Linked DNA regions of Canis lupus familiaris. The protein of the gene in region 2 interacts with the protein of the main gene of each other region in a pairwise test. Links are inferred from orthologs where the notes say so. Each region holds a gene or a part of one and is shown on either strand. Other genes may lie near its edges.

Region 1 (2,604 bases), on a different chromosome or scaffold from region 2:
ATCTTCATGCCACCTGCCTGGGGCCCAACCATACCCAGAAAGGCGTTAGGGATGGTGATCTTGAGCCACATGCGGTCTCGAACTTCCAGTCCAGACTCCGGAGCTGCCATGGCCTTGGTGACAGATGCCATGTCCGTATGAATGGACAGACCCCGGCCCTCACAGCCTATCGGAGAAGAAATGAGGAGTAGAGACCGGGCCACACACTGCTGAAAGGCCTCCCAGGGAGGGGAGGGTGAGGTGGGCTGGGGGCTCACCCTCGGGCAGAGAAGACCCGGATGTCATGGTGCTCATGGACGAGGAGCCCGGGTAGGTGGGGAAGGTGCCAGTCAGTGCAGCCGAGTGAGACACCCAGGCAGCTGGGTCGATCGGCTGGATGGGCTCATCTGGGACAGAGAAGGTCCCCACAATGATCGTTTCCCTGCCACTCCCCAACTGAGACCCCGACCCCCATCCCACCTCTGCCCTGACCCTCCTCCACCCCTTCCTGTCATCCTCCTCCCCTGTAGCACTCACTTCGAGGAAGAGTGAAATAGGCCTGGGGAGACGGATCCCAGCACTTGGCCACAGTCAGCACAATGGGGCTGTGGGGAAGGGGAGACGCAGTCAGGCAGGGGCGGGGGGGATGGGGCGAGGCTTTGCGAGGGTGAAGGATGGACAGAGACACAGACAGACCAGGCTGGAGAGCTGAGCCTGGAGGCATCAGTGAGGGTGACCCACCAACACAGACAACACTAGAAATGAGGCTGAAACACAGAACCACACACACTCTATGTATGGGTCCATGCAGAGCCAGTCCAGGTCACAGAAGCTGAGCCCGCTGATCGAGGATGGGGACGGACACATGCACATGGACACACACACAAGGGGAGGGGAGGCAAAGCAGTGCAGTGATGACAGATGACAAAGGACACCAGGGCAGCGCTCCCTGCCAGGGAGACTGGTGAGGGGACTGCAGACTCTGGAGCACAACCCCCCAGCTCACGATCAGGTGGGGGTCATGCGGGCCATCCTCTGCCCCACGGTGATGTCACGTTATGGCTCAGCCCCTCTGGACACGCACCACCACGCCCATGCTAAGGGTGAAGCCACGGGCACCAGGAGAGCAGATGAGAGGTGGCTCACCCCGGCTTGTGCACGATGTCCCGCAGCACCCGCACTGCATCATCGTTGCTCATGTTCTCGAAATTCATGTCGTTGACCTGGAAGCCAGGTTGGCGAGTGAGTGTGGGTGAGAGCTTGTGAGACGTACCTGCCCCCCAGATCCCCCACAGGGCACCTGCAGCAGCATGTCACCCGGCTCGATGCGCCCATCGGCTGCCACCGCACCGCCCTTCATGATGGAGCCAATGTAGATGCCGCCGTCGCCCCGCTCGTTGCTCTGGCCCACGATGGAGATGCCCAGAAAGTTGTACTTCTCTGCAGAGCAGGCGCCCATGACAAGGAAGCCAGCCAGCGTTCCCCGGGGCCCCCGCCCTGGACCCCCAACCGGGGCCCCCTCGTACCCATGTTGAGTGTGACTGTGATGATGTTGAGAGACATGGTGGAGTCAGTGACGCTACTGAAGGACGAAGCCTAGCGGGGAGACAGGGAAGGCTTGGGTTGCCTCCAAGGACCCCAGATTCTCACTTTCTGGGCCCACATACCCCTGAGACCAAGGCTCCCTACGCCTGTAAGACGCAGCCATCCCGTGAGCTCCCCTCACCCTCTCCAGGCGGGGTGGCCGCTGTTTCCTCCGCCGCCGGTGGCGCTTGAGGAGGCGAGAGGCGCTGCTCTGCTCCGTGGAGCTGCTGAATCTGTCCGGAGGAGAGGAAGGGGAGTGCTGGCTGGCAGAGCAGGTGGGGGGGGGGGGGGAGGGAGGCAGAGACCAGCTTGGGCCTGGAGGACATCACCCGGTGGCGCTGGGAAGTGCAGGGCTGGGTGCCACACCTGCTCATGGTGTCATCCTCATCGGAGTCCCCCAGGCTAGTGCTCTCCAGCTCGCTGGTCATAAGGGTTGAGGAGCTCTCATACCCGGCCAGGTGGCGCTCCAGCCTCGAGGGTCCACCAGGCCTGTGGCCCCCTGCTGTGGAAGAATAGAACCTTCAGGGACCTGGCCTCAAGCTGCCTCCCCCATCACAGGGGGGCCTGAGCCCAGCCCCCAGCTCCTGGGCTCCTGGGCCCCCCTCACCACCGTGCTCACTGCTGTCTCTCCTACGAGGCCGTTCCCGCCGCAGGGACACCACTGACTCGGTTTCCGTCTCAGGCTCCAGGTTCTCCCGGCTGCTGGACACGTTAGGGCTAGGTGGACAGAGATGGCATGCGACCGCGTCAGGGGGACGGGGCTCCGTGTCCTCAACCTCCCCCTGCCCAGGGTCTGGGGTCTCCTCCTTGCCTCCCTCCCCCGGACTAAAGAATCCCAGAGACTCACTGGAAGGACGGAGGCCTAGAGTCCCCGATGCCGCTGGTCCTCTCCGGTGGCAGGGGGGGTAGCGGTGGGGGGGGCGGTGCCAGCTCTGCCCGGGGCTCGTGGGCTGGGGGAGCCATCTCGGGTTGGGGGTTCTCTGACGACACCAGCTGGAAAGATGCAATGACAAAAACTGACTCAAGCAAGGAGGGAGGCAA
Region 2 (4,055 bases):
TGCTGAGTGAAGTAAGTCAGTTGAAGAAGGACAATCATATGGTTTCACTCATATGGGGAATATAAAAAATAGTGAAAGGGATTATAGGGGAAACAAGAGAAAATGTGTGGGAAATATCAGAGAGGGTGACAAAACATGAGAGACTCCTAACTCGGGGAAACGAACAAGGGGTACTGGAAAGGGAGGTGGGCGGGGGGATGGGGTGACTGGGTGATGAGCACTGAGGGGGGCACCTGATGGGATGAGCACTGGGTATTATACTATATGTTGGCAAATCGAACTCCAATAAAAAAATACAAAAAAGACCAAAAAAATTTAAATTTGTGTCTGTTATACAAATAATACATAGTAATTGTATGAAAATCAGAAAATACAAACAAAAAATGATTCAAAACTCTGTCATCATACTTCGTGTTGCAGAAACTACTGCTGTTCATATCGCTTGCAATTGCTTCTCAGCTTTGTGTCTATAATTAAACATCAGGCTACCTTAGATATTTGTGACATTGCCTATTTGAAAGTGGACTTTTTGAGATTGTTGTAGATTTACAAGCAGTTGTAAGAAATAATACAGAGAGATCCCATATAGTTTTTTGTTAAACAGTATATCTTTCACAGGACCACGTATACTGCCCTACAATTGGCCTTTATCACTCAGTAGTATAGTATAAGCATATTTTACATCAATAAATGAAACTTGATAGAAAAAAATATTAGAAAATATGCAAACAAAATTATCTTCATAAAAGTAGCAAAACATGTAAAATAGCTAAGGAACAAACTTAAGAAATATATACAACTTAAACGAATAATAAAAAAATTCTTTTAGGAACATAAGAAAGATTTGAGTAAAAGGGAAAACACATATTCCAGATCAACATGCATTTTTTTACGCTAAATATTTCTTTCTGTAGGTTATTCTGAAGATTTTGTAGGAATGTGAGAAAATGATTTAGGTTTTTTTGTTTTTGTTTTTTTAGAAATACAGAGTAATTGAGAATCTCAAGTTGGTTAATTTAGTGGGTATTCCACAGAATTCCTCTGATATTTAAAACTGGCTGGATGGCTTATCCACACTGTTTAGTCAGAAAAAATAAGGTTATTTTTATCTCACAGTATCTAAAGGTTATATTTGAACTAGTATTCATCAATTTATTCTGAGCCTTTTTCAAGTCAAACCCAACTTTCAAACTTATTGAATCACAAACTAAAAGAAATTTATTAAAGCAGTGCAAAAATATTTCAATGTAATCTTGATCTATGGTGCTGTGGCCGGAGTAATGTCTCTTGTTGTTACTTGCTGGTGCTATGGTTTTCTTTGTTTGTTTACTTGGGATTTCCCACACACACACCCAGAAAAGACGGGGTTTCCCTACACAGAAGAGGTAGAAAGATATATACCAGAGGTTGCAAAATGTCAGTCTAAGGGTCACATCCAGACTAATGAAAAATGTAAATTTTTTGATCTATCTAGACCTTTAAAAATCTTTTAGTTGGTTGCCAACATTTGAAAATCATGAAATTTTCGTGAAAATATGGATTTCTGGAATACTGCATCTTTCCATAGCCAGTCTAAGCCCACATTCAGTTCAGCAACAAAGTAGAGTACCATGAAAAATAATAAAGAAAATCAGAAAGCTTAGAAAAAATCTATTTGAATTCCAGCACACATATACATTTTGTATACTTTTGAAAAATAAAATTTTATTTATGTTTTAGAAATAAACCTATTTTGAATATTATTTGGGGGAAGAGGTACCATAATCTTTTCAGAATTTAGGCCTCTGAAGGTCTTATTCTGAGCTTCATTTCCAGTTCCTGTCCAACAACCAGAAAATTTGGCCACACTAGGCTAAAATTCCCATTTATTAACTCCCACCAGACAAGGCATTCACAGTTCTCACCACGTTTTGGTTTTCTTCTACCCCTCTGGTCCATTCGTTTAGTCTATTCATTTAAGTTACTTGTCTGGCGTGTGTGACATTTCAGTTTGGGATCCCTGGCACATACAAAGGCCAAGAGAATTTTTACTTACTCTTTCGACCCTTCAAGTAATCGGGGTCAACCAGGACTACACCATCTGTGTAGAGAGCGAGAGACGGTACCATGGTCAGGAAAAATCCTTAGACTATGAAACAGAAATCCATCCCTGAAATAGTTCCTCCCATTTTCCCCTTGAATTGGCCTCCTCTTCTGTATGTTCCTTTCTTGGCTTTTAGTTGCTGGCTCCCATTCCCTTCTCCCCAGGTTCTTTCCCTTTTTAGACTCACTGACCAATGGGATCCACCATGTCCACATGGTCCACGAAGTCCCGTTTCCCCAGGTAGATGGCAAGCTGTTGTGGAACAACCTTGCGTGTTATTATCATAATCATCTTTGAATGGCTTCCCCTGAATCCTCAAGGCAAACCCTTGAGACCTCTCCCTTTTGCCCTTTCATTTGCCTGGCTAGGCCAGGTTCTCTCACCTTCCCATTGGAGCAGGTCTTCTTATACACTCTATAAAGAGAAAATCAGAAAGAAAATAGGGAGGGTCATTGTGAAAAAAGGGAAGAGGAGAAGAAGGAAGTGGAGAAGAAAAGGAAGTATTCTTAGGATTAGGAGAAGAGGCTCAAGGAGCATGAAATGGTGCAAAGGTGGAGGTAATTGGGATAGAGTTCAAGTTACAAGTTGAGAAGTTGGAAACTCCTCTACCACAAAGCAGGTACTTGGGTTTGGATAGGGGACAAGTCACAGATTCAGAGAATTAGGAGTTCTTACTTACCTTGAGATGTGAGCCATGAAGTTGATGTTGAGCCTTTTCTGAGAAGAGGGAAAGAAGGAGGAAGGCTCAGTCATTTGGTCCCAATTCTTTCTCCAGGATACAATCCAGACATACCTAGTGTGGTGTAACCTTTCCTTGTTGAATAGATACCTCACTACCATTCAAGTGCCTTATATTCTCCCTCCTGCCAAGGTTACTTATTCAGTCACACTCTCACCCATCCCAGACAGGGGAAAAAAACCCTATTTTTACAAATTGTTGACTAACCACTCTGTCTATTCTCTAGAAATGGCATGGCTTCCTGGAATAGCTGGGACACTCTTGACCACCTTCACAGAGAAGGAATTTGTCTCAAAGCAGGCTGGAGAGAGCCCTCCATCAAGACAATTTGAGGAAAATTTGACTGGATGAGGCTGAACACCACCTGGCACACAGTAGGTGTCAAGACATGTTTGTTAGATACGCAAATAAATGAATGAAGAAAAAATGGATTCTGTCTGCTTTTGTCCTACAATAGATTCTGAACCTGAGTTCATCTCACGGTGGCTTTAACTCTCAGTTAAGAGAGGAGAAAAGTGTGGGAGAGAAGGGGTTGGAGCCCTCATGCTCTTGGTTGTTGGTGGCAGAAACCTCTAGAAAGCCTTCCTTGAATCTATTCATCACTCTCTTCACCTTCCCCCAATTTTCTCCTTCTTAGCCTTATCTGTGTCCCCAGGTGAAAGGCCTTGGAGTAGGGATCCTTAGAGAGAGGGAGATGTCTGTCTAGTGCTTCTCTTTGTTATATATCATGTCTGGCCTGAGGGTGAGCTCCAGGGAGCCTCCAGAGGTCTGTCACAGGGTCTCTCAGGCCAAGTGCCTGCTGGCTGTGTCATGAAAGATGCCCTCAGATGCTCCTTAATATATTCATGGGGATGCTAAAGGCAAGGGTATATGGGACCTGGTATGGGTTAGAAATAGAGGACTTCGGACTATTACCTGGGGAGAGAGATGAAGCTCACATCCGTCTCCAGCTCTGGTTGCTATGCTTACCTCTCCAGCCTTTTATACTTGAGGTCCTTTGAATATTTAGATTGGTGGGGGTCAGAGAAGAAGAGTAGAGTTGGGGGGCATAAAACACTGTTTTATAAATAGTTCAGGTGCCAAGAGTTTAGAAAGCAGATTAAAGGCTAAAAGATTAGTGGCTAAAGATTAGCAGGTTCTTGCTGCTGGGACAGGATAGAGGTAGAGAGTTGAATCTGATAGTGTTAAAGTTAGGGGAGCTTGAGAAGGGGAACTACAGGGTTTTGGCCTTAA
Region 3 (3,565 bases), on a different chromosome or scaffold from region 2:
GCAGAAGTGAGCTCGGCTGACACGGAGCCTGGGGCAGGGAGCAGCGGGGAGGATGCCTGCCCTGAGCCCCACGAGGCCCTGCTCCTCTCCATGCCTCAGTGTCCTCACAAACCCCCACCTGCCTTCTGGGGAGTACGTGGCCTCAATCAGGCAGGGCCGCCTGGTCAGCCTGAGCCCAGTGCTGCTTACAGCACAGAGGGCGGATCCTGTCGCATCCTAGTCTCTGGTGAGGGCAGTGCTGTGCACCACCACCATCACCACCCCCCACCCACAACCGCATCCCCAGGGAAAACTGCAATCCCGTTTTCTGTCTGGCAAGAGATGTCGGAGCCCGAGAATGCAGGGGCGACATGGGGCTGCAGACAGGGCAGGGCGTGGAGAGCGTACTTACCCAAGTAAGAAGCCTGGGCCACATCCTTCCCCTGGGGGTCCTGAAACTCAGGGACCTGGGGCTCACTGTCCTCCCCCTGGGAAAGTGCCAGCTGGGTGGCCGAGTCACCTGTTTGCAGATGGGGGACACACGTCCATCAGCCACGTGCTGCTCCAGGAACCAGGGCTGGGGGCCAGGAACTCACACAGGTCGGCAGGGGCTGGGGCCAGCAGGTGGGGCCGGGGTACCTCCCGCAGGACTCCCCAGGAACCAGGCACTCGCCAGCCAGGCCAGCCTGAACCACATGTGGTTGATCTGTGAGGTGCCCCTGGGGTGGGGGTGAACATCAATGTGACACTGGCTCCCTGGTCTCAGGACAGAGGATGGAAGTCTTACTTGGAGGCAGTGAGACACCACAGTCCTCCCCAATGATGAACTCTCCATAGAAGCCCGTCTGAGCAGGATCTAGAAGGGACCAGTCCTCTTGTGAGAAGCAGAAGATCATGTCCTCGAAGGGCGACAGGCGGCTCTGAAAGCACAGCACAGTGGGGACGCCTCAGGGCAGAGCCAGCCAGGGCTGGGGTGGAGGGGGTAGGGAGGAGGGTTGTGGTGCAGAGGGGACACTAGCCACAGGACAGAGCGGGGAGGCTCCCCGGTTCTAGCATGAGATCCGCCTCACACACTGCAGGGTGCCCCATGGGGCGGCCAGGGACACGCAGGCATGGGCCCTCCTACTGCTGCTCAGGTGGTGGGCACCCACATGTCCTGGGGGGCCAACAGGGAGCCTATACGTGTTGTCCACGCCTACCGGCAGCCAGGCTGTCAAGCGCCCCACTGCGGTGAGGGAAGGCAAACACCTCCTGCACTGGGAGCACCCCCCGCATGAGGGCTGAAGGGGACTCTTTTCTCACACTTGGGAGTCATGGGCCATGGGAATGTGTTGAAGTTCATTTTAACTTGAAACATGATGGTATTTGCATATAATTACAGGATCCCACAAAAATAAAGAAGTCATCCGCAAATGGACAGTAACATGACAGAAGGATTCATGGTAACAATAAATGTCATTTAAAAATTATTCCTTTTGGGCACCTGGGTGGCTCAGTGGTTGAGTGTCTGCTTTCAGCTCAGGTCGTGATCCCGGGATCCTGGGATCAAGTCCCACATCAGGCACCCTGCACAGAACCTGCTTCTCCCTCTGCCTATGTCTCTGCTTCTCTCTCTGGGTCTCTCATGAATAAATAAATAAAATCTTAAAAAAATTATTCCTTTTGTTTGTAATAACCTGGAACCTTGTAACTCAGACAAAATTTGGGAGAACTAAAGTGTGGAAGAGCTGCCGGTGCAGCTGATACTTGTCTGGGCATGTGAGTGAGGACGTGTATCAGGAGTGTCACGATGGACACAGACATTTGCACAAATTGTCCATGTACAGCTTTCACTGGATGTCAGCTGATAATGGTTGTATTTCTCCACAAAGTGTTCCCATTACAAAGGATTTAAAGTAAAATTCCATCTTGAGTTAACCAAATAGTAAGACATTTGTATAATATACATCGGTTTTAGAAAAAGAGTTCATGGTATTTTAAACAAACGTCCTTGCATCTGCCTCATTGCCTCCATTTCTGGAAGATTCCTTGTCAGGGCCGTGTGGTTGCCTCCAACCTGGGGTGACCCTGCTCTCCATGAACCTTCTTGGGGTTTACTGGCCAACCTGCTTTTGTCTACTTCGAAATGCTTATTTTCTTTGTCTATTTTTCTATTTTCTCATGGGTCTTTTTTTTTTTTTTTTAATTTTTGCTTAAAAAAAATCAGAACAAAACAAAACCAAAAAAACCCTTAACTGAAAGGGGGAAACAATGGCTTTCAGAAAATAAAAATAAAGACCATGTAAAAAAAATAACGGGCTCAGGGAAACACTGAGTATGTAACGAAAGAGTGTGGATGAAAGTTGGACAAATGGGAACGAACTAGGCCGTCCATGGAAGGAAGGCCCGTGACCCTTGGAACCTTCTAGACCATCAACAAAAAGCCACAGAGCCAAAAAAGAAAATATATGACAGAAAGTCCATCTTGACTATGAAAAAATGTCTAACAAACTGTATCAGTGTCCTCAGTTTGATGATGCTTGGGAAAGACGAGTGAGATCTCATTATGACTCTGTGAGCATCATCACTATGGGCCAGAGGCCGCTCCTGGGCACTGGATGCCGTCCTTTCACCCCTGTCTACGAGCCCGCAGTCCGGGGTCACCCCCACCCCCCGATCTCATTGTCTCATATCAGACCGGGTCACCCCACTTTCAGAGGACCCTGGCCCCAGGACTGTCCTCTGATTGTCTGGGGACTTCTGGGGACTTTCCAAGCCCTGGGGCCTGATGACCTGGCATGCAGGGGAGTCCTGCCCACAAGGTTGAGGGGTATCCCTGCCTGCCCTTCCCTCTCCTCCTCCTCCCCGCGGCCCCAGTTCTCCCCAGGGTGGTCTGGGGTCTGCGGGCGAGCAGGTAGGCTGCAGGCACCTAAGGGGTCAGGACCCCTTGTCCCTGGCCTTCTGCTCACCCCCCAAGGACTCAGTTCCCAGACTGAGCAGCAGCAGGGCCAGGGTGAGCCTGTGGAGGCCTGGGAGCCAGCTCCCCCACACTCCTGTCTGTTCCGTAGGTCCTACAGCCACCCACCCGCAATCATATTCCTCCTCTGACGTGTGCAGTGCAGGACACTTTCCTGGAAACAAACCTGCTTCTGGCTCTTGGGACCCTTTCCTTTCCTGGGGTCCCTGCCTTCCATCCCAGTTCCCCTATCACTGCTCCTCTCTCTCTTAGGGGTTCGTGCACGGGTCTCATCTAGGATCTAACAAGTCCACAAACGGATGATGGTGCTACTGGGGGTCCAGCCCAGGCCATCAGGCAGTTGCTGCCCCCGATCCCAGGGGCCTGGCCACCAGGGAACACCCCCAGGCTCAGGCTTGCGCAGGGATGGCGCAACCCACCCATCCAGCAGGGGGTGGGGCCAACACCCCTACCCAGATGCCATAGTCCTGTTGCTGTGCACCTGTCAGGGAAACGCAGAGGCTGCTTGCAGGCAGCCCTCTGTAGCCCTGGAAGCCTGAGTAAGGTTGGAGGGCCTCCATGGCCACAGGCTGGGTGCTGAGGCCCTGAGGTGGCCCACCCCAGTCGCGGCGACATGCCATCACACACAGG
Region 4 (4,173 bases), on a different chromosome or scaffold from region 2:
AGTTTGTGGAAGGACAAAGCCCCAGGGGAGGGCCAGGGAGGGGACGGTGGCGGGAGCTTGATCCTTCCCATATAAACACAAAACATGCAGAACTGAAAAAGGCACAGACTATATTGCTACTACTTCCATTTGCCCAAACCCAAATCCTGCACCCACAACAGCAGTCTTGCCCCTCCCAGCACCCCAGGATCTGCAGGGCTGGGGCTGGGCCGGGTATGGGACTGCTAGTCCCCACCTCCCCAGAGAGATCTGGCTGGCCATGTTGGCTGGAGGGTTGTAGGAGCTGAGGCCAGGTTCAGCGCTCAGTCCGTCCTCTTGAGCACATGGATAAAATAGCAAGGAATGGAGGCCTGGCCCGGCTTGTAAGGCTTGAAGTCACCCAGGACGCTGTGCTGGCACTTGCCCCCAAAGGCTGCTCGTAGCAACTCCGTGAAGGAAGCCAAACGGTGCGGGTAGTAGGACAGCCGGAACTTACTGCAACAGAGCCCCCAAGCAACCATGAGGACTGGTGGCCTCGGCACCACCCCCCTTCACCCGCTGCCAAGCCCAGTGGGTACCTCAAGCCAGGAGAACCATCCTGACCAGCCCCTGGCACCTGCACTGTATAGTCCAGGGTCACCATGTGGGCCTTGTTGTTCACTGTCAGCACTGATGTGGTGATGTCCTTGGTCAAGTCGCTCTGTAGGTAGTGGTGCAGGCTGTATTAGCCTTGGCAACCACTGCAGGGCTGGACCCCAGGATCACATCCCCCATTCTGGGCTTCTCATCCCACCCCCAGGGCCCTCACCTTATAGTAGATGTTCTTTCCTGGGGGTGCACAGCCTGTGCTGAGGATGTGGTCATAGTTGCGATGGTCAATGACCAGCAGGCCCCCTGACCGCACCATGCTCGCGATGTTCTTCAGTGCCAGCCGGTGCTCACTCTGATCTCCTGAGCTCCAGGCAAGGGCAAAGAGGCTGCGTCCGCTCAGGGCCCCAAGCACCAGTCTCCCTCCCAGCTTTTTCCTCCCCAGGGATACAGACGCCAAGTCAGGGAGGAGCAGAAAACAGTCTGCTCTGGCCAGGATAGCAGGCACCCAGGGGTCTGTGAAAAGAGGTATAGCTCAAAGGGCCAGGCTCCAGGGTACACTCTGTCTCACCTTTGCAGTCTGGCAAGTGGGCAAAGCTGTTTCCAAGGCAGATGACAGCATCGAAGGCACCCCCTGGTGGCTGGGGCACATCTTTGTCCAGAGTCATCCAGTTGGCTTCTTCAATGACTGGGACCAGGAAGGGGAAGGAGAGCTCGAGGTGGCATGGAGGCACCAGCAGTACCCCTCTCCATCGAGTGCAGCCCTGCCTCAGTTTCCTCTTCAAGACACATGGGGATTCCCCATCCAGTTAGGAGGAGGGGATTATTATGGATATGGAAGGTGAAGGGGAGGAGGGGTCAAGGGGGCGGGGAGGAAGCTGTGATGGGAAGAATGGCTCTGTGCTTACTGGGTTTTATTTGGGAGAAGACACTTATAATCAAAACTAGCCCCTCATTACCAGATACCTCATTCTAGTGCCTAAGCCTCCCTTTCTGGGGAAATGAAAGTAATTTTGCTGTCCCCTTAGGGAAAACAAACACCCGAATTTGCACAGGAATTAAGAGCACTGGGCCCTGGGGTGCCGGGCGGGGAAGGCCTGCCTGGACGTGCGTACCCCACTTGTCGAAGGCTGGCTCGTGCCGCCGGTTCCAGCGCTCTTTAAGTGCATACTTCAGCATCTTGTCACTGGCATCCACACTGGTCACGCTGAAGCCCTCTTCCACCAGCATGATGGAGTCCACCCTGGGCAGGGCCAGAGGGGAGAGAGGCAGGGAGGGGCAGTCAAGGGGCCTGGGAAAGGCAAGGAGGAGGTCCTGTGCTGGACCCTTCTGTCTCCTCCACTCTTGGCTCCATTCCTCTTCTTCCTCTCCCCAGGCCCTCTCCACTGATCTCAAATGACCTGGCAAATGGGTTCCCTATCACCAGGTAGCAACTTTGGGGTTTTGTTAGCATCCCTTCAGAGCCAGGCACTCCGTCATTGTGCATTAATCCTCACGGCAACCCTGTGAGGTACATGGGGTTTCCCTCGCTTGAGAGATGAGGCAAACTGAGGTCCCTGGAATTCAGGAACCTGGGCACGCGGAAGTAGTACAGCATCTCTTCTCCACTAGGTAGAGGGGCCTTCACCCCTCTGGGGCAGGATTTCAGCAACTCTAAGTGGGACATCACTGCATACATCTTGAGGTTTTCTGAAGACCTTAAAAATGGATGTATCCAAAGCTCCTGGCACAGCGCATGGCACGGCCAAGTATCGAACGAATTGTTAACTGTTAACACTGCCCAAGGCCACGACTCGGGAGCTGTGCCAGAGCCAGCACCCAGGAGAGCTTACATCGGTCTGGTCCCAAAGCCAAGCCGCCGCCGCCGCCGCCGCCGCCGCCGCCGCCGCCGCCGCGCCGCCGGGAGGATCCGGCCGTCGGCATCCCGAGTCCCCACCTCCACGCTGGCTGTCCCAGCCCCTCCTCCCGGCCGGCACCCCCACCCCCAGGGCCCCGGCCCGCGCTCACCCGGTGCCGCAGGCCACGTCGAGCACCCGTTGGCAGCCGTGCTGGCGCAGCAGCCCGAGCAGCCAGGCCTTGTACTCGGCCGTGCGGCTGCGGGTGTCCCCGATGTAGAGCTGCCACACGCGCGCCGCCTCCCCGTCCGCGTACTGGTCCGGGAGCCCTTCGGCCGCCACCCCCAGGGAGCGGGTGCGGTACACGCTGTCCACCATCCTGCGGCGCGCCTGGCTCCGCCGCCGCCCGCCCGCGTTTATAGCGCGGCCCGCCCGAGGCCGGCCGCCCCACCTGCCCAATGGCAGGTGAGCGCGGGGACACGCCCCTGCCGGGCTGCGGCCTCGGGGCGGGGGCGCGGCCGGGAGGTCTGAATAGGCCCTTCTCGCCCGCGGGAAGACCAGCCCTCTGGGCGACCACCCGGCGGCAAAGGGCCCTCCCTGCCCCACCCACTGAGCCAGGGCCCCGCAGGACCCGGAGGGGCCAGCCGCGGTGTGTGCGTGGGGGAGGGGAGCGGTGAGGCCGCCCACCCCACCGCCGCCACCTAAACTGCAAAGGAAGGAAAGAAAACTTCCCAGTCCACGCCGAGCTCAGCGCTCGGACGGTATTAGCATATCTAAAGGAGGCTTGTCCGGCTGGAGGAGGGCCTGGAAGGGAGGAAGAGGGCGTATCTGGGGATAAGAATGCTGGAGGGGCCACCCAAGTCCAGGAGCAGTTCTAGTCCAGGGGATCGTCTGCCCACCTGGAGGCAGGTGCTCCTCCGGCCTGGAGGTGACGCACTGAGCTTTTCCCTGAGTCTCTAAGGCGACGTCCGACCTTTCCTCCCAGTTCTTTACCGACTAGCAATGCTTCTAAGCACTTTTTGCTGTTTGAGGCCCCTGTTTGAAATCCAGCATCTCCACCAAAAATCAATCAATCTTATTTTTTAAATAAGATTTTATTGGGACGCCTGGGTGGCTCAGTGGTTGAGAGCTCGCCTTTGGCCCAGGGCGTGATCCTGGAGACCCAGGATAAAACATGGAGCCTGCTTCTCTCTCTGCATGTGTCTCTGCCTCTCTCCCTCTCCTGAATAAATAAAATCTTTAAAAAAAATTTTTTTAAAGATTTTATCTATATGAAATGAGCAAGAGAGCATGAGCAGAGGGAGAGGGAGAGGGAGAAGCAAGCTCCTTGCTTAGCAGGGGAGACCCACTGGGGGCTTGATCCCAGGACCACGAGAGCATGGCCTGAGCTGAAGGCAGCTGCTTAACCGACTGAGCCACCCAGTTGCCCCTTAATTTTTTTTTTTAAGATTTTATTTTAAGTAATCTCTGCACCAAACATGGGAATGGAACTCACAATCCTGAGATCAAGGATTCCATGCTTTATTGAGCCAGCCAGATGCCCCTAAAAGTTGATTAAAAAAAAAAAAAAATTAGAGGGGGGATGGGCAGAGGGAGAGAGAATATCAAGGGTGCTCCATGCCCAGCACAGAGCCTGATAGCAGCCCAATATCAAAACTCCTGAGATCAGGACACTTGGGTGGCTCAGCGGTTGAGGTCTGCCTTTGGTTCAGAGTGTGATTCCAGGTCAGAGGGTCAAGTTTCGCATCGGCTCCCTGTGAGGAGCCTGCTT

The links.
Region 1: the proteins of ARR3 (region 2) and DVL2 interact in a two-hybrid assay, tested with the Homo sapiens proteins (2 studies listed by BioGRID and IntAct). The two-hybrid records come from large-scale screens. The link is inferred for Canis lupus familiaris from reciprocal best matches to the Homo sapiens genes ARR3 and DVL2.
Region 3: the proteins of ARR3 (region 2) and ZNF496 interact in binary tests that used the Homo sapiens proteins (3 or more experiments, as listed by UniProt). The two-hybrid records come from large-scale screens. The link is inferred for Canis lupus familiaris from reciprocal best matches to the Homo sapiens genes ARR3 and ZNF496.
Region 4: the proteins of ARR3 (region 2) and GNMT interact in a two-hybrid assay, tested with the Homo sapiens proteins (2 studies listed by BioGRID and IntAct). The two-hybrid records come from large-scale screens. The link is inferred for Canis lupus familiaris from reciprocal best matches to the Homo sapiens genes ARR3 and GNMT.

What each region holds. Positions count from the first base shown.
Region 1 is NC_049226.1:32,403,202-32,405,805, forward strand, and holds part of DVL2 (segment polarity protein dishevelled homolog DVL-2), read right to left. Parts: intron 2,557-2,604; coding exon 2,411-2,556; intron 2,281-2,410; coding exon 2,171-2,280; intron 2,066-2,170; coding exon 1,930-2,065; intron 1,797-1,929; coding exon 1,706-1,796; intron 1,576-1,705; coding exon 1,506-1,575; intron 1,420-1,505; coding exon 1,280-1,419; intron 1,203-1,279; coding exon 1,126-1,202; intron 585-1,125; coding exon 517-584; intron 387-516; coding exon 258-386; intron 167-257; coding exon 35-166; intron 1-34.
Region 2 is NC_049260.1:54,910,145-54,914,199, reverse strand, and holds the start of ARR3 (arrestin-C), read right to left. Parts: upstream 2,837-4,055; coding exon 2,763-2,836; intron 2,498-2,762; coding exon 2,467-2,497; intron 2,336-2,466; coding exon 2,275-2,335; intron 2,081-2,274; coding exon 2,036-2,080; intron 1-2,035. UniProt on the Homo sapiens protein: May play a role in an as yet undefined retina-specific signal transduction. Could bind to photoactivated-phosphorylated red/green opsins.
Region 3 is NC_049229.1:261,643-265,207, forward strand, and holds part of ZNF496 (zinc finger protein 496), read right to left. Parts: intron 900-3,565; coding exon 767-899; intron 500-766; coding exon 392-499; intron 1-391. UniProt on the Homo sapiens protein: DNA-binding transcription factor that can both act as an activator and a repressor.
Region 4 is NC_049233.1:11,686,942-11,691,114, reverse strand, and holds GNMT (glycine N-methyltransferase), read right to left. Parts: upstream 2,817-4,173; 5' UTR 2,781-2,816; coding exon 2,575-2,780; intron 1,811-2,574; coding exon 1,683-1,810; intron 1,256-1,682; coding exon 1,139-1,255; intron 931-1,138; coding exon 788-930; intron 680-787; coding exon 558-679; intron 475-557; coding exon 303-474; 3' UTR 90-302; downstream 1-89. UniProt on the Homo sapiens protein: Catalyzes the methylation of glycine by using S-adenosylmethionine (AdoMet) to form N-methylglycine (sarcosine) with the concomitant production of S-adenosylhomocysteine (AdoHcy), a reaction regulated by the binding of 5-methyltetrahydrofolate.